7 linked regions of the Oryctolagus cuniculus genome follow. The protein of the gene in region 3 interacts with the protein of the main gene of each other region in a biochemical or structural test. Links are inferred from orthologs where the notes say so. Each region holds a gene or a part of one and is shown on either strand. Other genes may lie near its edges.

Region 1 (3,500 bases), on a different chromosome or scaffold from region 3:
TGGATTCTCCTGGGCCCTTGGACAGGAAAGAAAAGTATGTATTCACTGCTTTTAAATTTATACATAGAAAAAAAGCCTTTCTTAACTTCTTAAAAGATTTACTTATTTATTTGAAATGTGGAGAGAGAGATCTTCCATGCACAGGTTCACTCCCTAAATGCCCCCAGTGGCCCAGGCTAGGCCAGGCCAAAGTATCATCTGCTGCCCCCCAGGTACATGAGCAGGAAGTTGGGTTAGAAGCACAGAAGAGTCAGGCACTGCAATTGGGATACAGGCATCCCAAGGAGCAGCTTAACCCACTGTGCTACAATAGCCTGTCCCTCAATTTTTTACTGAAGTTCTTTATATTCTGCACTGGAACCCTAGCTTTAGCTGTTCCTAGAAAGACCCCTGGATTCTGGAAAAACTTCACGAGTAGTGTGTACTTCCCTCCTTAGATTTTAGCTCTTGTTTTGGTGTTAGTCAAATTCTTAAGAGAATGTATTTTAAGGGAAGGTTTGGATTTTCTTTTTTACCTAGAAGCCCAGTGTTGGAGGTGCTCCTAAAAATAGGATAGCGGCCGGCACCGCAGCTCACTGGGCTAATCCTCCGCCTTGCTGCGCCGGCACACCGGGTTCTAGTCCCGGTCGGGGCGCCGGATTCTGTCCCGGTTGCCCCTCTTCCAGGCCAGCTCTCTGCTGTGGCCAGGGAGTGCAGTGGAGGATGGCCCAGGTGCTTGGGCCCTGCACCCCATGGGAGACCAGGAAAAGCACCTGGCTCCTGGCTCCTGCCATCGGATCAGCGCGGTGCGCTGGCCGCAGCGCACCGGCCGCGGTGGCCATTGGAGGGTGAACCAACGGCAAGGGAAGACCTTTCTCTCTCTGTCCACTCTGCCTGTCAAAAAATAAAAAAAATAAAAAATAAAAACAAAAAAATAGGATAGCATCAGAAATTTATTTCTTTTCTTTCCTAAAATAGGAATGTGTTTGACTGCTCCCTCACATTGTAGGTTAAAATGAACATCTTTACTTGCTTTATTCTCATTGTTTACCTTCTGATCTTATTACAGTCTCGAAAATCCCATGAAGAGGATAAATTCCCTGCCTGTAAGTTAGTTCCCTTGTTTATTTTGAGGTCGTACCTGTTGTCTGCTTGCCAGCTTCCAGCTTGCCTTGATAGACCTCAATGTAGAAAGTGAAACTGCTTTTCTTCAGTCTCAGAAGCACTCGAGACTACAGTAGCTTTAATAAGGGCTACCCACTGAAGACATCTGACTAGCAGAACTTGATTAAAACAGGATGAAGTTTTGTTTTTGTTTATTAAGATTTATTTTATTTGAAAGGCAGTTATAGAGAGGGAAAGACAGAGATCTTTCACCTGCTAGTCTACTCCTCAAATGGACACAATGGCCAGGGCTGGGCCAAGCCAAAACCAGAAACTGGGTCTCCCACATGGATGTAGGGGCCCAAGCACTTGACCATTCTCTGCTGCTTTCTCAGGGATGCTAATAGGGAGCTGATTGGAAGTGGAGCAACCAGGATCTGCCCATAAGGGATGTGCACACTGCAGGCAGCAGCCTTTACCTGCCATGCCACAGCAACCTACAGTGCACAGAGCTAGGAAAGGGCCTTTTATGCAGATATTTGGGGATGAAGTTATCTCCCACCTCACTTCTTTTGAGAGCTGTTTTCCATGGAATTTTTATTTATGTACCCTAATTATTTCCTTTTTTTCAATTTGATAGCCGAAGCTCTTGGGATGCAGCCCAGCTCTGAAGAGGAGCCATTCTGATTCTCTTGACCATGACATCTTTCAGCTCATCGACCAGGATGAGAACAAGGAAAATGTGAGTGTGGCATCACTGCACTAAGCCAGATATCAGGAGTTTGCAGAAAAATTTCTGGGAGTATTCAACTTTGGCCAGAGAAGTGTGTGGCCTTTGTAGTCAGAAAATTTGGGATTGAATCCTGCTTCTTACTAGCTGTGGGAGCTTGGCAAATAACTTCCCTTTTTAGGCTTCTTTGTAAAGTAGGGATACCAATACCTCTTAGGGCCATTGTATAAAGAATTTAAAATGGTGCCTGGAAGGTAGGCAGCAACAGATCTACCATCTGCTGGGGTTTTTTGTTTGTTTTTATTTTCTTAAAGATTTAATTATTTGAAAGTCCAAATTACAGAGAAAGGGGCAGAGATCTTCCATTGACTGGTTCACTCAAAATGGCTGCAACATCAGGGCTGGGCCAGGCTGAAGCCAGGATCCATGTGCTTTATCCTGGTCTTCAACTTGGATATAGGGGCCCAAGGACCTGGGACATTCTCCATCGCTTTCCCAGGCGCATTAGCAGGAAGCTGGATTGGAAGTGGAGCAGCTAGGATTCAAACCGATGCCCATATGGGATGCTGGCACTGCAGATGGTAGCTTAATCCACTGCGCCACAGTGCCAGCCCCATCTGCTGTTTAACTTCCCCAAATGCTTTCAATAGCTAGAGTAGGGCCAGGCCAAAGCTGGGAGCCCAGAATTCCTTCTGGGTCTTCCACATGGTTGCCAGGGACCCAAACACTTGAGCCATCACTTGCTACCTCCCATGGTGCACATCAGCAATAAGCTGAATCAAAAGTGCAGGAGCTTGAACTCAAGCCAGCCACTCAAATCGGAATGTGGGCATCCTAAGAGGCCAGACACCCACCCCTGACTTTTTCAGATGCACAGGAAGGCATCCAAAACAGTTGAACATATTTGCTTAACTCTCCCTACCCTTTCCCAGAGTATTTCCATATGTCTGTTTTCTCTCTGTTCCATTTTCTGCTAAAAATAATCAGTTTGTGATCATTATATTCTTATAGAGTTAGTGTAAAACCTGCCTTCATGAACTCTCCTGACGATTCTTTGGTAACTTGGGAGATGTCATGAAGGAGATGAAAATGAGTTCCTGCCTTCAGGGCTTGCAGAGCAAGCAATGGGTCTACCCCCATGCAATGTTTCTTTCTGCCAGCCAAACTGTTACAATGCTTTGTTATCCCCCAAGCCTCTCCCTGATTGCCTGCATAGAGCTGTTTTCTAAAGGGAAAATTGGGTAGATGGTGGTTGAAGAGCTGTTCTGGAGTCACTCTGTCTGCCTTCAGTATCATAGGCACATTTCACCTCTAAGGCCTAGTTTTTTTTAACTGCCTAAATAAATATTAAGAAAAAGTAACAGGTTCTTAAAGTGAATATTTAGGGTGAGGGTTCATGAGTGCTTTTGAAGTTTAAGTGAAATCATGTAATCTGTCACATTTAGCTATTTACAGTCAACATTGTAAAAATCATCCTTGTTGAGTAAACCAGTAGGGTTTTTTCATTGCTTTTTCTATGAAATACAGTAGTCATCTTAAGTGGGAAAATAATTGTCTGCCATTGGTAGGATGAGGTAAAAAATATGAAGCCCTCAGATGAAATGTTTTGACATAATGGACAGTTAATTGTGATGGCATTGCATTAGGATTTTAGACGGCATTTGTAGTTTATCACTCTGCTTTGTAT
Region 2 (4,210 bases), on a different chromosome or scaffold from region 3:
AGGCAGGCTTTGAAGGCTGGTGCCGCTTCTCAACCTTGTTTACAGGAACAACTCAAACGTGGACATTAGTACAGGGAACGGCCTACTCGTCACTTCCATACCCAACAAGCCCCTGCCACTTCACTGGTTTCAGAACCCCACCAAACTTTGATGAACCCCAAGTCTAGCAGGCATCCTGGAGCCCTCCCCACCGCCAGACCCGCAGCCAATGGTGCTGGCCCCCCTTTCAAATTAAGGCAGAATCCGGTCTCTTCTCATCACCTGCCCTGCCACTGCCCGAGCTCAAGGCCCTGTGGTCACCTGGACTTCTAAGACGGGCTCCTAACCGGTCTCTGCCTTCACAGCCCATTCTGCACGCAGGAGCCAGGGTTCTTTTCGGGAACACAGATCCCAAGTTCACTCTTCTAAAACCCTGCAACGCTTCCCATTGCAACAACGGCCGGCTTCCACTGCTTCGCTCCTGGTCCTTGTGTTTTCCCCATTTCTCTGCTGTGAGCAGGGTTGGGGGAAACCAGCAAAGGTGTAACGGGAGTTACCAAGGGGGCGACACGGGTTGCTGGGTGACACCGAGCGCCTGGCGTTTGATAGGATGTTCTGGGCTGCGCGTGTTTCCCCGGCTCTCCTGTTTACAAAGACGCCAAGTCCACTGGCAGGATGGCATCGGAGCCGTGCCAGCACCTCGCCAGTGCACCTGCTTGTCCTGCTCGCTCCCTCGCACCCCGCCTGCCCTGGGCGCGCAGGACGCAGGTGCCCGCGCCCCCACCGGCGCCGCGTTGTGGGGCGGTGCCCGGCGTACCGCACCGGGTCCTTACAAAGCGTTTTGACGCCTGTCCAGCAACCCCCCCCCAAGCACAGGGAGCGCCTTCCGTGGCCTGCCCGGCCCCTTTGGCTTCGGGCCCCGTCCGGCGCGCAGATAGCGGAGCCCAGGCGAACTCGGAGCTTCGGGCCCCAGGCAGCGCCCGCCGCGTGACGTCACCGTCGGGGGCACGGGCGCGAGCTGCACCTGCCGCACAGCGTAGGTTCCACGCGCGCGCGCGCGCAGCATCCCGCGCCCCCCAACCCCCACAGTTCAGCGGCCCGGGGGCCCGGGGGGCTCGAGTCCAGAGCCGCGGCTGCCAGGAGTCACGCCCGGTCCCCCTGGACCGCGCAGGGGACGGACGGGTCCCCCGCGGTCACAGCCGCCGCCGGGGCCACGGAGCCGCAGCCGTCTCGTGGGAGGCGCCCCCACCCCACCCCCACGGGCCCCGGCCCCGCAGAGCCGCTCGGCCGCACCACGGACCCTGGGGCGCCGCGGCGCTCGCCGACCTGGCGGGCCGGGCCGCGGGGTTTCCCGCACACGGCGCGCAGGGGCGGCGGGGCGGGGCGCGGTGACGTACGGGCGTGACGCGCGACGCAGCGCGACGCGGTGACGCACGCCCCTTTGTTGGCTCAGTAGCGGCAGCAGCGGCCGTGGAGGTGGCGCTGGGGGCTGTTTTCTCTCGGAGGCCGGAGCGGAGCGGCGTCTGACTGAGGCGGGCGGCCACAGGCCCCTCGCCGCCTCCCTCGCCGCCTCCCGCGCGCCGTCCCCGCCGCCCGCCGCCCGCCGCCAGCCGCCCGCCGCCGCCGCCGCGCCGGGGAGGAGCCGCGGCCCGCGCGGCCGCAGCCAGGCCTGCGCCCCGGACACCCGCCGGAGCCGGAGCGAGAGCCGGGGCCTCGGCGTCCCCGCCCTCTCCCCGCCTCGGCCAGCGTCCGCCGCGCCATGGACTCGGACGAGGGCTACAACTACGAGTTCGACGAGGACGAGGAGTGCAGCGAGGAGGACAGCGGCGCGGAGGAGGAGGAGGACGAGGACGACGACGAGCCGGACGATGATAACCTGGACCTGGGCGAGGTGGAGCTGGTGGAGCCCGGGCTGGGCGTCGGCGGGGAGCGGGACGGACTGCTGTGCGGGGAGACGGGCGGCGGCGGCGGCAGCGCCCTGGGGCCGGGCGGCGGCGGTGGCGGCGGCGGCGGCGGCGGCGGCGGCGGGCCTGGGCACGAGCAGGAGGAGGACTACCGCTACGAGGTGCTCACGGCCGAGCAGATCCTGCAGCACATGGTGGAGTGCATCCGGGAGGTCAACGAGGTCATCCAGGTGAGCGTGGCCGCCGCGCGGGCCTGCCGGCCGCCGCCGCCCCTGCCGGGGATGCAGGGTGCGCGGGCGGGCGCTCGCCGGCCGGGCCGGGCCGGGCCGGGCCGGGCCGGGCCGGGCGCGGGGAGGCGCGCGGGGGCGGCGCTTCCCGGCCCCGGCCATGGCGCAGGCCTGCCGCCGCCGCCCGGGGCCTCCGGCTCGCGGCCGATGCCTGCCGCGCCGGGCCCGGCGGCCGCGGGCTGCCTCCCGCGCGGGGCGGGGCGGGCGCGGGTGCGGGAGGAGGAGGAGTGGCGGGGGATCGGCCCGGTCCTGGGTGCTCCGGGCCGGTCTGGGGAGGGACTAGGGCAGGCCCGCGAGCAGCTGGGTGTACGGTTGCCCCAAGCGGGCACGAGTCAAAGGAGAAACGGATCCGCCCGGCAGGCCGAGCGCCTGCCTGCTCGGGGGAGGGGAAGAGGCGCGGGTGGGCCCTTTCCGACGGCGCGGCTGCTGCTGGCGGCGGTGACGTCCTGGCTGGCTGCAGGCGAGCGCCGGGGCCGCTCCGGCCGGCCGCACACGCGTCCCTGCGGCTCGCCGGGCAGCCCCCGAGCGCAGGGCGTCCCCCTGGACGGGGCTCCGTTTTGTGAGGTTTTCTGTGTCTGAGCTCGGTGCTCTCCTGCTCCGTGGTCAGGAAGCGAGGCTTGGCCGAATTCGGTGATCGCGGCTCCTTTAAGCCTGTGCATCGGGTTTTGCAGGTGTTTTTTTTTTTTTTCTTTAAGGAAATCAAAACTTTTTATTGAGGGAAAAATCGTGGTGAGGCGGCAAGGGATGTGGTTGCAGAATAAAAATGCCTTGATCCGGTGCGGCGTTCCGAAGACGCCGGCTCCCTGCGCGAGCAGCAGTTGCTGTTGCTTTCCTGCCTGTCCCTCGGCACTTTTTTAGAAATCCCTCAGGCGGCTCGCTGGGTCCCCGATCAGCAGTGTGTCGTGGCCTGTGTCCTGACTCCGTTTCCAGCGGACCCCGTGGAGTAGTTTAGTAAGCACCAGTCTCAGAGTAGCCCCGTCTTTGAAGGCAGCACTTCCCGTTCTGAATAACAGGGAGTCTCGTATCTAGTGCTGTTCTTCAACAGTTGGGATCCAAGAAGGAAGCCGAACGGTTTTAGGTACAAATTTACTGCTTTTTTTTTTTTTTAATTCCACAAATAACGATAGTTGAAATACTGGGCCACCGAATTGAGAGCTTGCTTTTTTTACCTAAAGAGAATTTTAGGAATTTAAAGTGAAACTTTATTTACAGCTGTCATACAAAATCTGTTCTCAAGCTTATTGCCTGGCCTTCTGCAATTTTAATTAGCTTTAAAAAACTTGTAGATATTTGTTACTTAGTTTTCTGATTTTTTTTTGAAGTCTGTTTTTCCTGTGGTTAAGTCTCTTCTAGTTTTCTCAGCTGTGAGGCTTGTGTTAATTACCAAAGGTCCCAATCAAGTTCTTTATGTCACTTCTGGAAAGAAATGTGACCAGTGCATGTGATAGCATTCTTTTAAGTGAGAGAGAGTAAATGCTGATGGAGTGAACTAATAAGACCTACAGGATACCAGGGACTTTTTTTCTTTTTTATGTGTCCTACTTTTACCTTGTTTCCATGCCTGGTGTTTTGAAAGAAAACTTTCATCGTCTGCCTTATTGTAAGATCGGTTTTAAATAGGATTCCTGAATATACCTGGTGTTGTATACTCATAAGTATCTATCCCTTGTTCAAACCTCCTTCTTAGAAATAGCAATAAAATCGAAGGGCAGAGTGTTTCTGTGACCATTTTTTCTCCAAATGGTATACTTACCTAGGTCTCAGATGGGCTTTGGCTATGTTGCAAGTTCATTTTATTAATAGATGTAGACTTTAAAAGTTATGCAAGTAATAAATCCACATTGTGAGGAAAAAAACAGTGACTAGGCAAGAAAAATAAAATGACAAAATAAGCCTTCCGCTCAGAGAGAGAACACTAAACTGAACTGTAGTTACCTTTCCAGACCTCGGGATAGCTGCGCGGAGTTTCCAGTCCCGGTGGAATCATGCTGTGTGTTCTGTTTTCAGTGGAGGAGAGAGGGCAAAAACAAAGCAGTCTCT
Region 3 (3,500 bases):
GTGGGGCATCTGGAGCCTGCCTGGAGGACAGTGAGTGGGAGACTAAGCAGGGAGAGCACTGACCAGCAAATCCAAGCTGTTGATGTGGGTCTGTATGTTGTGCGCGTCTTCGGCGGGAACCCCCCTGAAGTGCTTCAGTTTGGAGCTTCCTGTCTCTCTTATAACCATGGCAAATGGAACCATCCACTTGACACACTTCTCGATGTCACACCACTGATACCCTGCAATGGAGAGAAGGCGCAGGCTCAGCCCGAGCGTGCTAAGTTCAACACAGCCTGCCTGCGAGCTCACCGCGAGGCAAACATACCTGACACCTTCTGCATCAACTCGGATGACGAGAAATGGTACAAGGCGGAGGCAGCGAGGACACCATAGGAAAATTCTAGGCAGCCGACATCCAGGACACAGAGATCTAAAAGCTACAGAGAAGGAGAAGAAAAGACCACTGTGGCAGGTGGGCGGCCGGCACGCGCCCCTGTGGGTCCTCGCCCTGGCTGCGGGGTGGCCGCCTACCTCTGCAATCTGTGTGAAGATTTGCTGGGGATACTGTGGCAGTAGCACCTCACACACATCATTCAGGTACGCAACCTGCATGTAGACGTTCAGCCAGGACACAATGGTCAGGGGACTTAAATGCCACTTAAGGGCCTAGAGGGAAACAGAAAGGAGACCCACGGTTGAGAAAAGAAATTCAAAATACAGCCACATTTCATGCCACAGTGTGGCCAGCCGGCGAGCACCCACCAGAGGCACGCCCCTCTCACGAGGAAAAGACATTACGTGTGTGTTTAAGAAATGGCCGAAAACTTAACTTGTAACCTACCTTCATAATCACTAATTCCATGGTAAGAATCTCGTCCCCTGAACAAGCCCCGTCGGTGACATAAGCAAACTGGTGCAGCTTCGGAGGGTAGATTTCCTAGAAGAGGACGAAAGGACGGGACGGTGAGCAAAAGGCCCATCTCCAAAACAGCTTCGGCCTCCGCCGCACCCGCCTGGCGCGGAAGGAGAGGGCTCCCTGTGGGACAGTTCAGGGGTCCCGCCGGTGCCTCACAATCCGCTCACTGCAAAGGAAGGGACACTCTCTCCGCATAAACCCGACCTGTCCTCATGACTGGAGTTTGAAATTCTCATCTTCTCAGTATCTTTTTGAACTACATGTCTGAAAGTTTGGCCCATAGCCTCTTCTGTAATCACCCAAAAATTTACTTTTTTTTTTCCATGAGGGTCAGTTATTATTTACATTTTTATTTATCTGAGAGGCAGAGAGAGAAAAAAAGCTCTTATCTGCTTGTTCAATCCCCATATGCCCACAACAGCTAGGGCCGGGCCAGGGCCAAACTGGAGTCCCCCGCGTGGGTGGCAGGAACCCATTTACAAATCCCAGGGTTTGCACCAGCAGGATGCTGGGGTCAGGAGCCAGAATCGGCATCAAATCTGGGTGCTCCAGTGTGCGATGTGGGGGCCTCAGCTGGCATCTTAATTGCTAGGCCGAACGCCTGACCCTCAAAACTGGCTCCTGGTGGTTCAAAGCTCACTTTTCTCTGTCTTTTCACAATTTTGTGGTTAAGGTAGCTGCATCAACCCAAGTATTCCATATACTCACTCCACCTCTCTGCTCAGCTGGGTTCCAGCCCTCTGGGCATGTGTCTCAAAGTAGACAAATGTAGGATATGTATTATAGACAAGTGGTTGATCTTGTGCCCTAATCTTAGCAATGCTCATGAAACACATTGTTATAGAACAAATACTGAAAATGATTTACCTCGAGTTTGGCAGCAATAAATAAAGATGAGATCCCAATAAGTTGTAGAAGTGTTTTTACAATATTTTCTTGTGTGGCCATGTACCGATCAAAGAAATCCTGTGCCAAGTAAAATGTCTCCCTGTGAAGCTTATAGACTTCACACACCTGAAAAATATTCAGTGCGTTTCAGAACAGGTACTTGAACAACAGCAAAAACAACTTGGTATAACCAATCACGAGAGATGACAAAGAACCTGGAACTCGGATATAAGGACAAAGTGTTCTGTGATCATGTAACCACAGAACAAACATTCATGGGCCACAGAATTGTCATGGAAAAGAACCAAAACAGAACGGAACTGCAGGTTCTCAAAGAATGCTGCCCCCCACCGCCGCCGCCGCCCTGGATTATAAATTTCATTATGACGTGGAGACATTTCCTCCCACCTGAGCAATACCAATAAGAATGTCGAACAGCGGCAATGCAAATGTACGTAAGGACAACAGCATGCCCAAACCACTATAAATCCCAGGAGGCAAAAGCTGTTCTAGAAAGCACTAAACAAGTGACCCAGAGACCCAGGCTTTAGATTTGGCTCTCACTTGGATTGCACTTCAGATTTCTCAAACTTCAAAACTAGGACAATGCTTGCCTTGCCCGCCTCACAAGAGCCTGGTGCAAAAGCACACGCGATGGGATTGAATGGACGGAGAAAATATTAGACCTCAGTTGCCCACCATCGAATGCCTGGTTATGCGTATAGAGCTCCATGTGACACCACCGTTGTCACTCCTCTCCAAGCCACCTCATGGAAGTGCAGATCACGGAGTGAACATGCAGAAGAGGAGCCAGAAAAACCATACTCAGAATACTGCCAGGAAACCCCACGAGGGGCCAGGCATCATGGCACAGTGCGTTAAGCGGCTGCCTGCAATGCTACTGGAGCACTGGTTCAAGTCCCTGCTGCTGTGTTTCACACAGATGAGGACCCAAGTGCTTGAACTTGGATCCCTGCTGCCTACGTGGGAGACTGCATGGAACTCCTGGCTTCAGCCTAGCCCAGCCCTAGTCACTGCAACCATCTGGGGAATAGACCAGTAGATGAAGATCTGTTTTTCTCTCTTCTCTCCATTATTCTGTCCTTAATACATAATAAAAATAAATTTTTTAAAAATTAAGAACAAAATTCTATCAATCACCTAGGCCTATTTCTAAGGTCCAGGCGAGACCATATTTAGCTTCTTTTTTTTTTTTAAAAGGCAGAGTGACAGAGAGAGGAGAGATGGACAGAGATGCAATGGTGGCGGTGGGCCAAGCTGAACCCAGGAGCCTAGAACTCCATACGGGTCTCCCACAGGGGTGGCAGAGGTCCAGGTACTTGGGTCATCTGCTGCTGCTTACCCAGGCACATCAGCAGGGAGCTGAACTGGAAGTACAGCAGCGAGGACTGGACCCAGAGCTTTGATAAGGGTCTCCAGTGTCATAGGTGGTGGATTAACCTGCTGTGCCACAGCGCCAGCCCCAACCACATTTAGCTCTTCATAGAAACATTCCTACAAAGTATGAGGAATGCTGAACTCTTCTGCTTCTAGTCCACACAAATGCTACCAAGAAAATATGGCTGGCAAATACCACAAAGTGACTGACTGGCCTGATGAGGGCACACTGAAGGCAAGGGGCAGCAGGGGATTCACCTGTAGGACTAGCACAGCGGGGCACACATAGCCCTGGAAATGGCCGACTGCAAAGGGG
Region 4 (4,069 bases), on a different chromosome or scaffold from region 3:
TGACAGGAGTGTTCCAGCACAACACTGACAGAAACCAGCACCCCAACCAAGAAGCAGAGCATTTCCTGCATCCTGAAATATCTCTGGCCCCTACCAGCTGACACTAGCTTCACTCCAAACCTACCATTAATTTGTTTGGACTGTTCTTGAATTCCATATAAATAGACATGCACAGACTATATTCTCTCTTGAAGGCTTCTTTCATCGGACACTGTATCTACAAGATTCCACCCTATTATTATATCTACAAAACTGTAGTCTACTTTCTTTGTATTACTGGATGATATTCCACCATACAGAGTACTACAATTGATCTATTATTCTCTTGCTGGTGGACATACACGTTCTGATTACAGTTTATGGCTATCGTAAGTAAAGCTGCTACGAACATTTTTGCACATGTTTTTTGAGGGATACATGTACTCATTTCTCCTAGGAGTACAACTGCTGGCCATGGAGTAGGTACATGTTTACTTTGATAGATGCCATTATGAAAGTTTTTGAAAAGCTGTGCCAGTTTATTTACACTCACACCAGCAGTATAAGAGTTCCAGTTGCTCCACATTCTTACCAACAACTAACACTGTCAATAAAAAGCATTTATATGGCAAGTTTTAGCGGTATTTTATTAGATCCCTTCTATTCCTGGTTTTCTGTTGTTTCTTCCTCTTAATTTGAAAGGTACAGTGACAGAGGAAGAGGCAGAGACAGAAAGAGATACCTGAGGCTGGCGCTGTGGTGTAGCGGGTAAAGCTGCTGCCTGCGGTGCCGGCACCCCATGGGCACTGGTTTGAGTCCCGGCTGCTCCACTTCTGATCCAGCTCTCTGCTGTGGCCTGGGAAAGCAGCAGAAGATGGCCCAAGTCTGTGGGACCCTGCACCAGTGTGGGAGGTCTGGAGGAAGCTCCTGGCTCCTGATTGGTGCAGCTCTGGCTGTTTCAGTCATCTGGGGAGTGAACCAGCAGATGGAAGACCCCTCTCTCTCTCTGTCTCTCTGTAACTCTGCCTTTCAAATAAATAAATCTTAAAAAAAAATAAAAAATAGGTATCTTCCATCTGCTGATTCACTCCCAAAAGGTCTCAACGGCTAGGGTTGGGTCTGACTGAAGCCAGAGGCCCGTAACTCCATCTGCATCTCCTACAAGGGAGGCAGGAGCCCAAGTACTTGCATCATCACCTGCTGCTTTCCCAAGTGCATTAGCAGGGAGCTGGAATGTTAAGTGGAGCAGCTGAGACTTGAACTGGCGCTCTAATACGGGATGCTAGTGTTGCAAGTGGCAGCTTAAGCTGCTGCATCCCAAGGCTACTCCCTTGCTCAGAGTTTTATCATGAATGGGTGTTGCAACACTTTTACTGCATCTACTCATGTGCTCATGTGATTTTTCTTCTTTAGCCTGTCAATGTGGTAGATTACATTATTAGATTTTTTTAATGTTAAAAGCAGCTTTGCATATTGTACCTAGATAAATGTTATCTGATCATAGTGTACCATTCTCTTTATACATTTTTATTTTGTATTTCAGATAAGTCTTTAAAAATAATTTTAAAAAGTTTTATTTATTTATTTATTTGAGAGGCAGTTTGATAGAGAGAGAGTGAGTGAGAGAGAAGGAGAGACAGAGAAAGAGGTAACTGCTATCTGCAAAGGCCAAAGCCAGCAGCCAGGAACTCCAAGTTCCTGGGCTCTCTTCTGCAGTCTTCCAGGTGCATTCACAGGAAGTTGGATGGGAAGTAGAGATGGGACTCAATCCCAAGCAACAACTTAACCCACTGCACCACAGTGCTTACCCCGTTTTACATTCAAGATCTAAAGGCGCTCAAACATGAGCACCTATGTTCGTGAGAAATACTGGTCTGTACCAAGTTGTTCTTGTGGTACCTTTGCCTGGTGTGGGAATTAGGGTAATGCTGGCTCCACAGTGTGGGTTAGGAAACATTTTTTTTTAATTTTTTTTATTATTTTTTGACAGGCAGAGTGGACAGAGAGAGAGAGAGACAGAGAAAGGTCTTCCTTTGCCGTTGGTTCACCCTCCAATGGCCGCTGCAGCCGGCGCACCGCACTGATCCGATGGCAGGAGCCAGGTACTTATCCTGGCCTCCCATGTGGGTGCAGGGCCCAAGTACTTGGGCCATCCTCCACTGCACTCCCTGGCCACAGCAGAGAGCTGGCCTGGAAGAGGGGCAACTGGGACAGAATCCGGCGCCCCGACCGGGACTAGAACCTGGTGTGCCGGCGCCGCTAGGCGGAGGATCAGCCTAGTGAGCCGCGGCGCCGGCCAGGTTAGGAAACATTCTTTCTCCTTTTATCCTAAAGAAGAAATTAGAAAATGGGTGAAATTTCTGTCTTAAATGGGGCCTGGTCTCAAAATGTTTTAGAAGGCTGCTACCTACTGATTCAGTTTCTTTAATAAATACAGGCCTGTTCAGATTATCTACCGCTTTATGTGTGAACTGTGGCACTGTAACTTTCAAGGAATTATTCTGTTTCACATAGGCGATTAAACTGCGGGCATCAAGAGCTGTGCACAGTATTTCCTCTATTATCCTTTTTTTTTTTTTTTTTAATTTTTTGGACAGGCAGAGTTAGACAGTGAGAGAGAGAGAGAAACAGAGAGAAAGGTCTTCCTTTTCCATTGGTTCACCCCTCAATGGCCACTGTGGCCGGTGCACTGCGCTGATCTGAAGCCAGGAGCCAGGTGCTTCCTCCTGGTCTGCCATGTGGGTGCAGGGCCCAAGCACTTGGGCCATCCTCCACTGCACTCCCGGGCCACAGCAGAGAACTGGACTGGAAGAGGAACAACTGGGACAGAATCCGGCGCCCCAACCGGGACTAGAACCCGGTGTGCCAGCGCCACAAACGGAGGATTAGTCAAGTGAGCCACGGCGCCGGCCTCCTCTATTATCCTTTAAATGTTCATGAAATCTGTGGCGATGCCCTTTCACTGCTGATACTGTAATTTTGTTTAATCTCTCTTTTCCTTATCCTGGCTAAAGGCTTATCAATTTTATTGATATTTTTAAAGAAAACCAGCTTTTTGGTTAATTTATTTATTTGACAGGCACGTGCGCACACAAACACACACACACACACACACACTCACAGAGACAGAGAGACAAAGTTTCCATCTGCTGGTTCTCTGCACAAATGCTTGCAACGGCCAGGGCTGGGCCTGGGGGCAAGGTTGGAATCAGGGAACCTAATACAGGTCTTTCCTGTGGATGGTAGGAACCCAATTACAAGAGTCCAATCCAGGCACTACGATGTAGGATTTGAGTATCTTAACTGCTTGGCTAAATGGCCACTCTCCCAGCTCTGGTCTTACTGATTTTCTTGCCTATTTCATAGATTTCTGCTCTAATTTTTTTCATTTCTTTTCTTCTGCTTACTTTGGATTTAATTTGATCTTCTAGTTTACTCAAGTAGAAACTTTATTGATTTCACAGCTTTCTTCTCTAATACATGCATTCAATGCTATAAATTTCCCTACATCCCACAATTTTTAAATAAGCCATATTTTCATTTTCATTTGGTTCAAAATATTTTTAAAGATCTATTTATTTATTTGAAAATCAGAGTTACAGAGAGGAGAGGCAGAGAGAGAGAGGTCTTCCATTTGCTGGTTCACTCCCCAATTGGCTGCAATACCCGAGCTGCGCCGATCTGAAGCCAGGAGCCAGGAGCTTCTTCCGGGTCTCCCACATGGGCGCAGGGGCCCGAGGACTTGGGCCATCTTCTACTGCTTTCCCAGGCTATAGCAGAGAACTGGATTGGAAGTAGAGCTGCCAGGTCTTGAACCGGTGCCCATATGGGATGCCAGTGCATCAGGCCAGGGCGTTAACCTGCTGTGCCACAGCACTAGCCCTTCAAAATACTTTTCAAAGTTCTCTGACCCATATGTAACTCAGAAGGATGCTGTTTAATCTCCATGGATGCTCTGGCATTTTGCAACTATTTCTATTTTCCTGTTATTGATTTCTAGTTTCATTCCATTGTGGTCACTGTGATCTGAGAACCCATCTTCACCCCTGATAAGAGTCCTTATTCTGAAGTCTGCTCTCTGAAATTAATA
Region 5 (4,068 bases), on a different chromosome or scaffold from region 3:
CATCCTCCACTGCACTCCCTGGCCATAGCAGAGAGCTGGCCTGGAAGAGGGGCAACCGGGACAGAATCCGGCGCCCCAACCGGGACTAGAACCCGGTGTGCCGGCGCCGCAAGGTGGAGGATTAGCCTATTGAGCCACGGCGCCGGCTTCGGTGTCCAATAAGACTTAACTAACTGATCCCACAGTAAGATGCCACAAGTTGTGAATGGGTGATGCGCAGACTGAGCTGTCTCCAACGGGACGGCCCTGCCCCCGGCCTGTCTCAACTTCCACCACCTGCAGAAGACCAACCTGGCAGGTAAACGTCAAGTTGCAAAGGAGAGCCGAGAGAAATGCCCGAATAACATCGGGTGTTAGGACAGGGCTGTGTGAACTCACTTTATCACGTGGACTTGGAGTGTTTTCACCCAGGCATCTAAAAGCACGCAGCTGAACGTCGTTCAGAGAGTTCAGCCTTCATCCAAATACAGCTCCGAGTCGGGTGCTGCAGCGAATCCCGCGGGAGAAGCAAGGGGCTGGGCCCAGGTGGAAGAAATAGGAACAGTTCTCCACACCCGTCCCTCCCTGCACTTGGGGGCTGCAACCTCGGTTTTTAAAAGCCGGGTTTAGGGACAGCAACAAAGTGCACGTAGGGGCTGGCGAGGCCAGACGGGGGTTGTCCATCCCGAGGTCCTTTCTCCTTTCTATTGAGGGAGAACTTGGGTTCCAAGCGCGTTCTAAACGCTGCGTCCACTTCCGGCTACTTTAGAGAAAGTCGTCTGCCCTGGCTCGCTTCCCCGAGCCCCTTCCCTGCCTGCTCTGGGACTTAGTGGTGAGGGGTGAGCTCACCACTGGTCTCACCCTCTACAGCCCCAGCGAAGGCACCCGGGCAGGGGGCCTGCCCGCGAAGTGGGAGCTGCGGGGGAGAGCCGAGCTGGGCTGGGGTGAGGTGGGGGGTGGGGGATGGGGAAGGGAAGGGCAGGGCTCTTACCCCCACCCCCACCCCCGGCTTGGCGGGCGCCAGCAGAACCAGCTGGGCGGCGGGCCTCAGAACGAGGCGCGGGGGCGACCCTCGGGGCCCCTGGGCTCCGGGCCCGTGGTTGCCCTGGCGAGGAGCCGGGAGGTCGGCGCTTGGGGGCGGCTGCGCGTCCTAGACCCTGGCGGCCCCGCCCGGCCCGCCGCCCAGGCCCCTCCCTAGCGCCGCGGCCGGCCGTTTGGCTCTTCGGGGCCCGTCGCCTTTTTAATTTCTCCGCGGCCGGCGCAGCAGGTTTGCTGGCAGCCGCGCAGCCCCCGTCTGCAGGCGGCGCTCGGGGACGCGGGCGGGCGCCGGCCCCCGCGCCGGGGCCACCTTAAGGCCGCGCTCGCCAGCCTCGGCGGGGCGGCTCCCGGCGCCGCGACCAATGGATCTCCTCCTCTGTTTAAATAGACTCGCCGTGTCAATCATCTTCTTCTTCGTCAGCCTCCCTTCCACCGCCATATTGGGCCACTAAAAAAAGGGGGCTCGTCTTTTCGGGGTGTTTTACGCCCCCTCCCTTCTCTCCACTCTCTCTCCCCGCGGCGCGGCTCCGTCGGCGCAAGGTTTGGAGAGCGGCTGCTTGCGGAGACCCGCGGACTCGCTCCGGCCTGGACTCGGACCGGCCGGGTCACCCCTCCCCGCTCCTCCCCTCCCCTCCCCGCCCTCCTGCGCGCCCGCACTCCTGATCGGCAGCGGCGGCGGCGGCCTGGGCTGCGCGGCCGGGGCGTCCCCGCTCGGCTCCCGCACCCTGCGCGCCCCCAGGAGCGCGGGCGGCGACTGGTCTGGGTCCATCTCCCCGGGCTCTGAGCGCATTCGCGGGGCTCCGCAGCGTCGGAGCGTTGGGCTGCGTTCGGTTTTGTTTTGCGGAGAGCGCGCGCCAGAGAAGAGGCGGCGGGGTCCAGACCCGGTACGGGGCGAGATGTCCAACGTGCGCGTGTCCAACGGGAGCCCAAGCCTGGAGCGCACGGACGCCAGGCAGGCGGAGCACCCCAAGCCCTCCGCCTGCAGAAACCTCTTCGGCCCGGTGAATCACGAAGAGCTGACCCGGGACCTGGAGAAGCACTGCAGAGACATGGAGGAGGCGAGCCAGCGCAAGTGGAATTTCGACTTCCAGAATCACAAGCCCCTGGAGGGCAAGTACGAATGGCAGGAGGTGGATAAGGGCAGCTTGCCCGAGTTCTATTACAGACCCCCGCGGCCGCCCAAGGGCGCCTGCAAGGTGCCGGCGCAGGAAAGCCAGGACACCGGCGGGGTCCGCCCCGCGGCGCCGGTGGCCGCGTCCCAGGCCAGCTCCGAGGACACGCACCTGGGGGACCCAAAGACTGAGCAGTCCGACGGCCCCACGGCCTTGGCCGAGCAGTGCGCGGGGATGAGGAAGCGACCTGCCACAGACGGTAAAGACCCTCCCGGAGCCGAAAGGCGCCTCTGTCCTCCGTCAGTCCGTCGGTCCGTCGGTGCGCGCTCCCGCTCTGCCTGCTTGCGGCTCTTTAACTCCAGCCTATTCTGATGGGAGAGCTCGGGGCGCGGGTGGGGGGTGGAGGGAACGAACTTTTTTATTGATCTCGGGTTTTTGAATGTTACCCGGGAGGCTGCTGGTCTGTTTATAAAGGCAGAAGCCGGGAGATTGTAGGATCTGATCGTTTTGCCCAGGTTGAAAACAGCGCCTTTCCTTCCTACCCCTGGGTAGGTGACAAGGTCGGGATGTTGATCAGCGGCCTCCAACACCCCCCCCCACACACACACACCGGGTCAGGGTAGAGGAAGGTGCGGGGGCCCCATTTCTGTGTGGTGCAGACCACCTTCCTGGGGGCCGCCCCGTCCAGGACCGTGCGTGGAGGCGGTGGGTTTTCATCCCCCTGGCCACTGGGCCAACTTGTGCCGGCCATTGTTTCTTTTACTGAAGATTGTGTGTGTGTGTGTGTCCTTTAAATAATCTCCTCTTGCCTTTAGATTCTTCCCCTCAAAACAAAAGAGCCAACAGAACAGAAGAAAACGGTTCCGACGGTTCCCCGAACGCCGGCTCTGTGGAGCAGACGCCCAAGAAGCCGGGCCTCCGAAGACGTCAGACGTAAACAACTCGGTGGGTTCATCAAAAACGGACACCCCGCGCCCCAGAAAAACAAGCCCAGCTCTGACACCCTAGCTGGGCTGCAGGACCGGTCCCCCCTCCCCCTAATACCCATAGCCAGCTGCTGGGTGCTTGCAGGGTTTGGTTTTGTTTATATTTTGAAAAGGCAAAAAAGTAGCCATGGGGCTGGCTGGAAGTCACCAGCCGTTGGGATACTGTAATCCTTCAAGGTTTCTCTCTCTGGGGATGATTTTCCCTTGAAACACTAACCGCCTAGAGCAAGTACTTGTCATTTTCCGTGAGTCACACCCACACGGGTTGGGAACAATAGATTCCTCCTTCCATCTGAGCAAGAACTGGGGTGCCCCCTCAGTCCCCCTGTTCCAGAGCTCACTTCCTAGCCTATTCAAGTGGAGACAGTAACAGGTTTTGAGCCATACATGGAAAATTGGCCAACACGCAGTCAAAATTTAAACGTGGAGAGAAGAGTTGGTTTATGTGAGGGGTTAGAAATGTGACCAGGGAGGTGAGAGATTGTGTTCTTTTATCTTTATTATTTTTGTAAACTGTCATTTTCCCTTTTTATTGAATATGTTTTGGTCAGAGAAAAGGAACCTGTGTATTAAAAAAAAAAAAAAAAAAGCCAAAAGTGGAAAGCTCGAATATACTCAGATTCCTACGGAATTTCTGATAACACAGAAGCTGCAAAGCAGAAGTTAAGTTCACTGTGGCACAGTAAGCAGTCCAGGAACACGTCAGCGCGTATGCTAATCACACTGTTACCAGCATGATTTGGATATTTGTAGGGGAGATGTCAGGACTGGTGAGGGTAGGTTTACCAGTACAGGAAAAATGAAGTGTTTTCCATATACTAAAATCTGATCACGGTGGATGGCTCATTTGACTAATTCAGCTTCTAACTTTACCTGGATTGGCTGTCCCTCCTGATCAAACTACTTATATTAATAGTTTGGTGGCTTCCTATACACAAGGAGTGTGATCTCTC
Region 6 (3,491 bases), on a different chromosome or scaffold from region 3:
TTCAATATGGAACTAAAGTTGCTTGAGCTCCTTTAAAATGCTGCCTGCTCCCCCCTCTTCGAGAGCAAACCCCGCTCCTCATTCCGACCTCATGGCCTTCGTCTCAGTTGTTTCAGGATCCTTTTCTGAACCGTAAGAGCATTCAGCCTCTCGAAAACTGCAGCTCAGCCTTCCACAGTCAGTATCCAATTCGTCTTCCAAAAAATGAGTCTGCAAAAACACCCATACTGGTCCACCCTGGCTGCTTACAGAAAAGAGCACTTGTGATCATGTAGTTCACGCAGTGCTGTCGGAAATCAGTGCAGACATTGGGAAGAACGCTTCGGAGACCAGACATCACCCTACATCTTTAAGCACTCGTGCGCTTATTAGGTTACTAGGCGACCTGGTTCATTTTTCATACTTGAGAGGTTGTTTTGGTAATGCAAATTATCTGTTAAATATCATGTCTATTTTAATAGATTTAAACCAGCAATTAAAGTAAGTATCCTAATTAGGAAATGTACAAAATTTAGAGTTTGATTTCAAGGAGTTGGATTCTAAAGTCAAGGGCTTTTCTGACCCTCCGGTTGCTATTCGCAACAATCGCTCTGAAAACCCAGATTTCCCAAGCTGAAAACCTCATTCCCTGAAGACCTCCTCGGCCCCCATAAACTGTCTTTACAGCCAGTTCGGTGTGACCGGCGTGAGGCTGCAGACAGCCAGCTGCGCACTCCCTGTGCTACTTGCTACAGCTAGAAACAATGTTTCCGTCCAAACCAAGGAACCCAGCGCCGCTCCTCTTCTAGGAATCAAAGGCTGACACTAGGAATAAACCCTTCTAAACGCTGTTCGCTGGATACTTGTTCGAAATTTATTGCAACTTGCAACTAAGTAGCAGGATACCGTCAGCCCAAGGGGTTCTCACCAAACGCCGCAGGGATTTTTAAGAATATCCCGCCTCCATTGCGCTCGGTTGACGAACCCACAAACAAGTCCGTGAACCTGGGGGCTGGTTTCCTCCTTTGGAACGCCTAAGCGTCAAATTCCGTGCCGATGTTTTCTGCATTTAATCGAATTTCGGGGACGAACAAACACAACCTGGAGACGCAGCCTCGAGCGGCGGCGGCCCGAGGGCGGCGGATTGGACGCTCCACCAATCACGAGGCAGCGCCGGCTTATATAAGCCCCGACCCGAGCGAGGCGGCATCGCCAAAACTTGTGCTCTGGGCTCCGCAGCGACTCCTGCCGCCATGTCGGAAGCCGCTCCTGCCGAGACCGCCGCTCCGGCGCCTGCCGAGAAGTCCCCCGCCAAGAAGAAGGCGGCCAAGAAACCGGGCGCGGGCGCGGCGAAGCGCAAGGCCGCCGGGCCCCCGGTGTCCGAGCTGATCACCAAGGCCGTGGCCGCCTCCAAGGAGCGCAACGGGCTCTCGCTGGCCGCGCTCAAGAAGGCGCTGGCGGCGGGCGGCTACGACGTGGAGAAGAACAACAGCCGCATCAAGCTGGGCCTCAAGAGCCTGGTGAGCAAGGGCACCCTGGTGCAGACCAAAGGCACCGGCGCCTCGGGCTCCTTCAAGCTCAACAAGAAGGCAGCGTCTGGCGAGGCCAAGCCCAAGGCCAAGAAGGCGGGCGCGGCCAAGCCCAAGAAGCCCGCGGGCGCCACCCCCAAGAAGCCCAAGAAGGCCGCGGGGGCCAAGAAGGCGGTGAAGAAGACGCCCAAGAAGGCCAAGAAGCCCGCGGCGGCGGCCGTCAAGAAGGTGGCCAAGAGCCCCAAGAAGGCCAAGGCTGCGGCCAAGCCCAAGAAGGCGGCCAAGAGCCCCGCCAAGCCCAAGGCTGTGAAGCCGAAGGCCGCCAAGCCCAAGGCTCCCAAGCCCAAGGCCGCCAAGCCCAAGGCCGCGAAGGCCAAGAAGACGGCCGCCAAGAAGAAGTAAAAAGCTGCGCCGTCTGGCCACCGACCAAGCCCCAAAGGCTCTTTTCAGAGCCACCCAGAGACCTCTGGAGAGAGCTGTCTGTCCACCCTTCGCTCGTGTCCAGCCAGGCTCGCACGTAGCTATGTGGGCTTCGAGTGCCCTACCATTCCACGGAGTGTAGTGTCCCCCCCCACTCGCCTGTCGGGGGTAGCCCTCGCCACCTGGCCCCGGGGGACGTTGGCTCTCCAGGAGCGGTTTCCATGGCTCTGAAAAGAGCCTTCGATGCGGGCACAAGCCGACGCGCAGCTTTAAGCTCGTTGCGGATGGTAACTGCAGGTGCGCGTCTTGTTGCGCACTGCGTAGCCCGCCAGCTCCAGGGTCTCGGCCGCCAGGTGCACGGGCGCCCCCCCCGCTCCGCGCGGTTGCCCTTGCGCAGCAGCCGGTCCACGTGGCCCACGGGGAACTGCAACCCGGCCCGGGATGCCGCGTCTTGGCCTTGATGCGCACCTCGCCTCTGCCTGCCGCGTCCGGACATAGTTAAACACGCAGCCGAAAGCTGCAAGTAGAAAGTAGATTATGTTGCTGCTTCTGCTGAGCGCGAAGAGGTGGCCGTGCGATTGGCTCCTGCGCTGTTTTCATTTAGGCCAATGGAATAGGGTGATGTAGGGTAGAGCCTTCGATTGGGTGACGCATATGTGACGCAGTCGCGGACAGCTAGCTGCCTTGTGTTCTGTGCATAGCGTCCCGTAAATGAAGAGCCGTGGCGGGCTCTTCTCGCCGCCCTCCGTAGGCTGGTTTGTCTTTGCGTCTCCCTCTTGCCAGGAGCTAGGCTGCTAGCTCACCACCAAGGGCCAGTGCAGGCGCATCCACGTACGTATACAAGGCACACCAGCAGGAGCACCCCGACGGCTGCCACTAGTCCTATGCCTCGGGCGTCATGACATCGGGGACCTAGCTTTAATCGGCACAAAGATGAACTAGTGATGCTGAAGTCGAGAAGGAGAATGAAGTTCAACCCAATGAATCCCCTTTTCTCACCAGTTAGGGAGGGAGGGTGGGTCCTCGCCGCTACCGCAGGTGCTGGGCCCGCCATTTACAGGCTGCCGGCGCCTCTGAACGCCTGTCCCTGTGGGGCCGAGGTCCTCTCGCCTCCCCCCGCCTCCATGCCTTTCCCGCGCGGTTCCTCTATCTGGAGTTCCAGCTCCCGTTCACGCTCCTGTTAATCTTTCCCTTTAAGGGACGGCGTTTACTGTTTTCACTTGGTCGCCGTTTTCCGTCTTTTGCGTCTCTGAATCGGCCCCAGGCTTCATTTCCCGCTACTCCCCCTTACTGTGTTTTCCGTAAGAAGGGAAATTGTAAACCAAAAGGCCAGGAGGCCTTTCCTCACGTGCAGGCTCGCAGCGTCCCGGCTGGCAGAGCATCTTGCCTTTGACGTTAAATTAATCGGTGTGGAAACGACGTTCTGCAAACTGCCCAACACCGTCACCGTGCGTGTAGGTATTGAGCTTCCTGTGGCTTCATGCTTCAGGAGTCTCAGAAGTGTACATCCTTTCTAGACTGCCTTTTCCTTTGTAATCCATTTCTAACCAGCATTGCCTGTCT
Region 7 (3,500 bases), on a different chromosome or scaffold from region 3:
TGGCTGCAGTGGCCAGAGCTGGGCTAGGAAGTAGCCAGGAGCTTCATCTGGGTCTCCCACGTTAGTACAGGGGCCCAAGGAGTTGGGCCATTTTCTGCTGCTTTCCCATGAGCATTAGTAGAGAGCTGGATGGGGAGTGGAGCAGCCAGGACTCAAGCTGGCGCCCACATGGGATGCCGGCCCTGCAGGTGGCAGCTTTACCCACCACAGCACTGGCCCCCGGGGTTGTATTCTTGAAACCCAGGCTGTTCTGGATTTGTTGTTTCCTAGCATGCAGTATCCATTGGCTATTTCTGTAAACTGCTTGATTTCTAACTCAGATAACCAAAGAATTGTGATATTTTTGTATCGTGGTTCTCCATATATCAGGCTTTAATTAGCATCTCTTGTACTCTGTCTGAAAATTTCTGTGCTAAATTATAATTCCACATAAATTAATCATATGATGACTTCACATTACTACTATGCTGACAGTATGCCAACTTGCCTAAACTTTTATTGTAATTAACTGGCTTTATGGAGTACCTGTTAAAAAGTACAATATTGAAAGAGAGGTGCGTGCATTTGTTTATGTGTATACACATACGTATATGCACACATGCATAGGTTATTAAATATAGTTATACCTTTGTTTAAGTGACTCCATTTCTGTACATAACACTGAGTGGTCTTCTCTGGTAGACCAAAGGTAATTAATTATCTTGCAAAAAGTTTTCCACTGTCACTTATCAATAATGGTATTAAATTGAATACTGGCTGGTTGGAGCACTTTGTATATAGAATGTGCTCCATAAATATGTGATTGATGTGGAACTCTGTACATATAAAGTCATTGAGAAGTGGTTATTTATATCATGTAATTCCTACTTAGCAACAAAAAAACCTCAAATTGTTGTTTTGCTTTATTCCCTATATGACCCTTGACCCTTTAAGTGATGGTTAATGTTAATCCTTGTCATAACTTTATCGTTCTTTGATGAACTTTTCTCCAGATATCATAATTTAAGTTTCTTGTGTGACATGTGAGGCTACTTGAATCAGCATTGTCAGAGGCTTCCATTTTCCTCTTCCCTTTTCTTTTTTATTTAAATTGACTTTATGCACATTAAAAAAGATACTATAAATAAACTTTTTAAATCACAGAGCTAGCTCAAATATGCAACTCTGTGTAGCCCATCAAGAAAATCTCTATAAGCAATGTAAAGTAATTAGAATCCAGTTATATATCTACCTCTTAGAAATGATATGAAGGGCCGACGCTATGGTGCATCGGCTTAACGCCCTGGCCTGAAGCACCGGCATCCAGTATGGGCGCTGGTTCTAGTCCCGGCTGCTCCTCTTCCGATCCAGCTCTCTGCTGTGGCCTGGGGAGAGCAATAGAAGATGGCCCAAGTGCTTGGGCCCCTGCACCCATGTGGGAGACCCGAAAGAAGCTTCTGGCTCCTGGCTTCGCATCGGCACAGCTCCGGCCGTTGCAGCCATCTTGGGAGTGAACCAGCAGATGGAAGACCTTTCTCTCTCTCTCTCTCTCTCTCTCTCTGTCCCTACCTCTCTCTGTGTAACTCTGACTTTCAAGTAAAATAAATTAAAAAAAATCTTTAAAAAAAATAAATGACATGAAATTGAACCACAGAGAACCTGTAGAATCTTATTATCAGACCATGAGGCAAGCATTCAGGTGGTGTTCAGTGAATGTATACTGTAGAGGGAGAGAGTAATTTTAAACAAGTAATACAGTTAAATTATTGAGCTGAAGCTCACAGAGGAAAGGAAAGAGCAGAGACTGAGGCGTTAGTTAAGTGTTCTTTGAAGAGGTAGCGTTAGGAAAGTTCATAAAAACCAGGATGGTGCTTGTTTTTAGTCTACTGCATATTTGTTAAGATTGAAGATACAGGGCAGGCGTTGCGCTTACAGCAGGTGAAGCTGCCATTAGGGAGGCCCACGTCCCATGTCAGAGTGCGGGTGTGAGTCCCGGCTGCTTTGCTTCCAGTGCATCCTGGTGGCAGCAGACAATGGCGCACATGCTTGGGTCCCTGCCACCCACATGGGAGACTGCTGGATCTGGCTCCTGGTTTCAGCCTGGCCAGCCCTGGCTGTTGCACACATCTGGGGAGTAAACCAGCAGATGGAAGATACTTTCTGTCTTTCTCCCTCTCTCTCTGTCTCACTCTGCCTCTCAAATGAATAAACAAACTTTAAAAAAAAGATGAAAGTTACTGTCACATAATTTTAGAAATTATAATGTCAAGTTACATCTATATGCAAGTATTTTATCCTATGGATAATAATGCACTTGTTTCTGTAAATTGTTCTTTAAAATGTGGGTATACTATGCGTCTCTTCTTTTTCATAGCTGGCACTTTACGTGCTTTCATTCCTGGAACCCAAAGACCTGCTACAGGCGGCTCAGACGTGCCGCTACTGGAGAATCTTGGCTGAGGACAACCTTCTCTGGAGAGAGAAATGCAAAGAAGAGGGTAAGACTCAAAGCTGCATGGAGCGTAAATCGATGCTTCGGAAAAGGAAAGCGATGCTGAAAACAAGTAGGGAAAATAAAAATGAGTGCATTTGATGTGCAGGTAGAATAAAGTAGTGGGTCATTGAGAAAAGGAGAGAGAGAAGTTTGACACCCTATAAAAGAATGGGTCTTCATTTAAATTCACCTACATGAGTTCAACAATGAAAAAGTCAAGATGAGGATAATTTAAAGGAAACCCCAAAGTTATATTATCAATTAAGTACCCAACTATTCAGTGATTGTTTGTTCCTTCCATGAATATTTATTGAATGTCTCCAGTGAGCTAGACTGTATTCTTAAATGCTGGTAAGACAGCAGCGACCTGCCATTTTCTTCCTGTCACGGAGCGTGTATTCCTGAAGCCTGTGTTTTTGAATACCCTGTCTCAGTAGAGGAGTAGACCTTGCGCATACTAATTCAAGGGAGAGCTCTCCGCTTTCCAGCAAACATGTAGGAAAATAGCATTTTTGACAAAATATTACTTGCTTTAGAGAGGCAAAACTTTTGAGAAAGAGTCATAGAACATGACCCAGGTAACTCTGTGGGTGGTCCTGTCTTTCGTGGTGCTCAAGGTCATGTGGGGAACGTTGACAGTTAGGCCAGGTTGGTAAAGCTTTGAGGAGGAGACCCCATATACTAGGTTTCTGATCCTGCTTCTACCCTGTCTAGGGCAAGGAGTAATCTGTGAAACCTTCCTTCTCAATTATCTGTATACAGAACGTGGGGTTCATAGCTCTGCCTTACCTTTACCATAGAGTCCGTTTTAGATGTCTTTTTACAAAGTGGTGACAAAGCCATAACAAAATCTGTCATGTAACCATCTGGAAGTGGTGCCGGGTGCTTCACGTTTTGTGCAGGGTCACCGCCATGCACCTCTAGAGCTTCTTCCTCTTGCCTAGCTGAGCCTCCATACTTGCTGTGGGCAGCTCTTCCCCCTCCTCCCCCGAGCCCCCAGCAGCCACCCTTGTGCTTTTTGTCCCCC

Evidence for each region.
Region 1: the proteins of CCNE1 (region 3) and CDC25A form a complex in vitro, tested with the Homo sapiens proteins (2 studies listed by BioGRID). The link is inferred for Oryctolagus cuniculus from reciprocal best matches to the Homo sapiens genes CCNE1 and CDC25A.
Region 2: of the proteins of CCNE1 (region 3) and ARIH1, one has a biochemical effect on the other in vitro, tested with the Homo sapiens proteins (3 studies listed by BioGRID). The link is inferred for Oryctolagus cuniculus from reciprocal best matches to the Homo sapiens genes CCNE1 and ARIH1.
Region 4: of the proteins of CCNE1 (region 3) and BTRC, one has a biochemical effect on the other in vitro, tested with the Homo sapiens proteins (2 studies listed by BioGRID). The link is inferred for Oryctolagus cuniculus from reciprocal best matches to the Homo sapiens genes CCNE1 and BTRC.
Region 5: of the proteins of CCNE1 (region 3) and CDKN1B, one has a biochemical effect on the other in vitro, tested with the Homo sapiens proteins (4 studies listed by BioGRID, with this or other methods). The link is inferred for Oryctolagus cuniculus from reciprocal best matches to the Homo sapiens genes CCNE1 and CDKN1B.
Region 6: of the proteins of CCNE1 (region 3) and H1-5, one has a biochemical effect on the other in vitro, tested with the Homo sapiens proteins (4 studies listed by BioGRID). The link is inferred for Oryctolagus cuniculus from reciprocal best matches to the Homo sapiens genes CCNE1 and H1-5.
Region 7: of the proteins of CCNE1 (region 3) and FBXW7, one has a biochemical effect on the other in vitro, tested with the Homo sapiens proteins (18 studies listed by BioGRID and IntAct, with this or other methods). The link is inferred for Oryctolagus cuniculus from reciprocal best matches to the Homo sapiens genes CCNE1 and FBXW7.

The regions. Positions count from the first base shown.
Region 1 is NC_091441.1:100,778,504-100,782,003, forward strand, and holds part of CDC25A (M-phase inducer phosphatase 1), read left to right. Parts: coding exon 1-34; intron 35-1,048; coding exon 1,049-1,085; intron 1,086-1,723; coding exon 1,724-1,825; intron 1,826-3,500. UniProt on the Homo sapiens protein: Tyrosine protein phosphatase which functions as a dosage-dependent inducer of mitotic progression. Directly dephosphorylates CDK1 and stimulates its kinase activity. Also dephosphorylates CDK2 in complex with cyclin-E, in vitro.
Region 2 is NC_091443.1:110,729,969-110,734,178, reverse strand, and holds the start of ARIH1 (E3 ubiquitin-protein ligase ARIH1), read left to right. Parts: upstream 1-1,410; 5' UTR 1,411-1,738; coding exon 1,739-2,113; intron 2,114-4,210. UniProt on the Homo sapiens protein: E3 ubiquitin-protein ligase, which catalyzes ubiquitination of target proteins together with ubiquitin-conjugating enzyme E2 UBE2L3.
Region 3 is NC_091449.1:26,428,976-26,432,475, forward strand, and holds part of CCNE1 (G1/S-specific cyclin-E1), read right to left. Parts: intron 1,913-3,500; coding exon 1,766-1,912; intron 920-1,765; coding exon 824-919; intron 649-823; coding exon 514-648; intron 420-513; coding exon 308-419; intron 222-307; coding exon 64-221; intron 1-63. UniProt on the Homo sapiens protein: Essential for the control of the cell cycle at the G1/S (start) transition.
Region 4 is NC_091446.1:28,367,130-28,371,198, forward strand, and holds the end of BTRC (F-box/WD repeat-containing protein 1A), read right to left. Parts: intron 836-4,069; coding exon 629-835; 3' UTR 501-628; downstream 1-500. UniProt on the Homo sapiens protein: Substrate recognition component of a SCF (SKP1-CUL1-F-box protein) E3 ubiquitin-protein ligase complex which mediates the ubiquitination and subsequent proteasomal degradation of target proteins. Recognizes and binds to phosphorylated target proteins.
Region 5 is NC_091440.1:110,363,029-110,367,096, forward strand, and holds the start of CDKN1B (cyclin-dependent kinase inhibitor 1B), read left to right. Parts: upstream 1-1,268; 5' UTR 1,269-1,913; coding exon 1,914-2,388; intron 2,389-2,944; coding exon 2,945-3,066; 3' UTR 3,067-3,074; intron 3,075-4,068. UniProt on the Homo sapiens protein: Important regulator of cell cycle progression. Inhibits the kinase activity of CDK2 bound to cyclin A, but has little inhibitory activity on CDK2 bound to SPDYA. Involved in G1 arrest. Potent inhibitor of cyclin E- and cyclin A-CDK2 complexes.
Region 6 is NC_091436.1:169,837,342-169,840,832, reverse strand, and holds H1-5 (histone H1.5), read left to right. Parts: upstream 1-1,176; 5' UTR 1,177-1,232; coding exon 1,233-1,910; 3' UTR 1,911-2,991; downstream 2,992-3,491. UniProt on the Homo sapiens protein: Histone H1 protein binds to linker DNA between nucleosomes forming the macromolecular structure known as the chromatin fiber. Histones H1 are necessary for the condensation of nucleosome chains into higher-order structured fibers.
Region 7 is NC_091439.1:12,199,196-12,202,695, forward strand, and holds part of FBXW7 (F-box/WD repeat-containing protein 7), read left to right. Parts: intron 1-2,353; coding exon 2,354-2,477; intron 2,478-3,500. UniProt on the Homo sapiens protein: Substrate recognition component of a SCF (SKP1-CUL1-F-box protein) E3 ubiquitin-protein ligase complex which mediates the ubiquitination and subsequent proteasomal degradation of target proteins.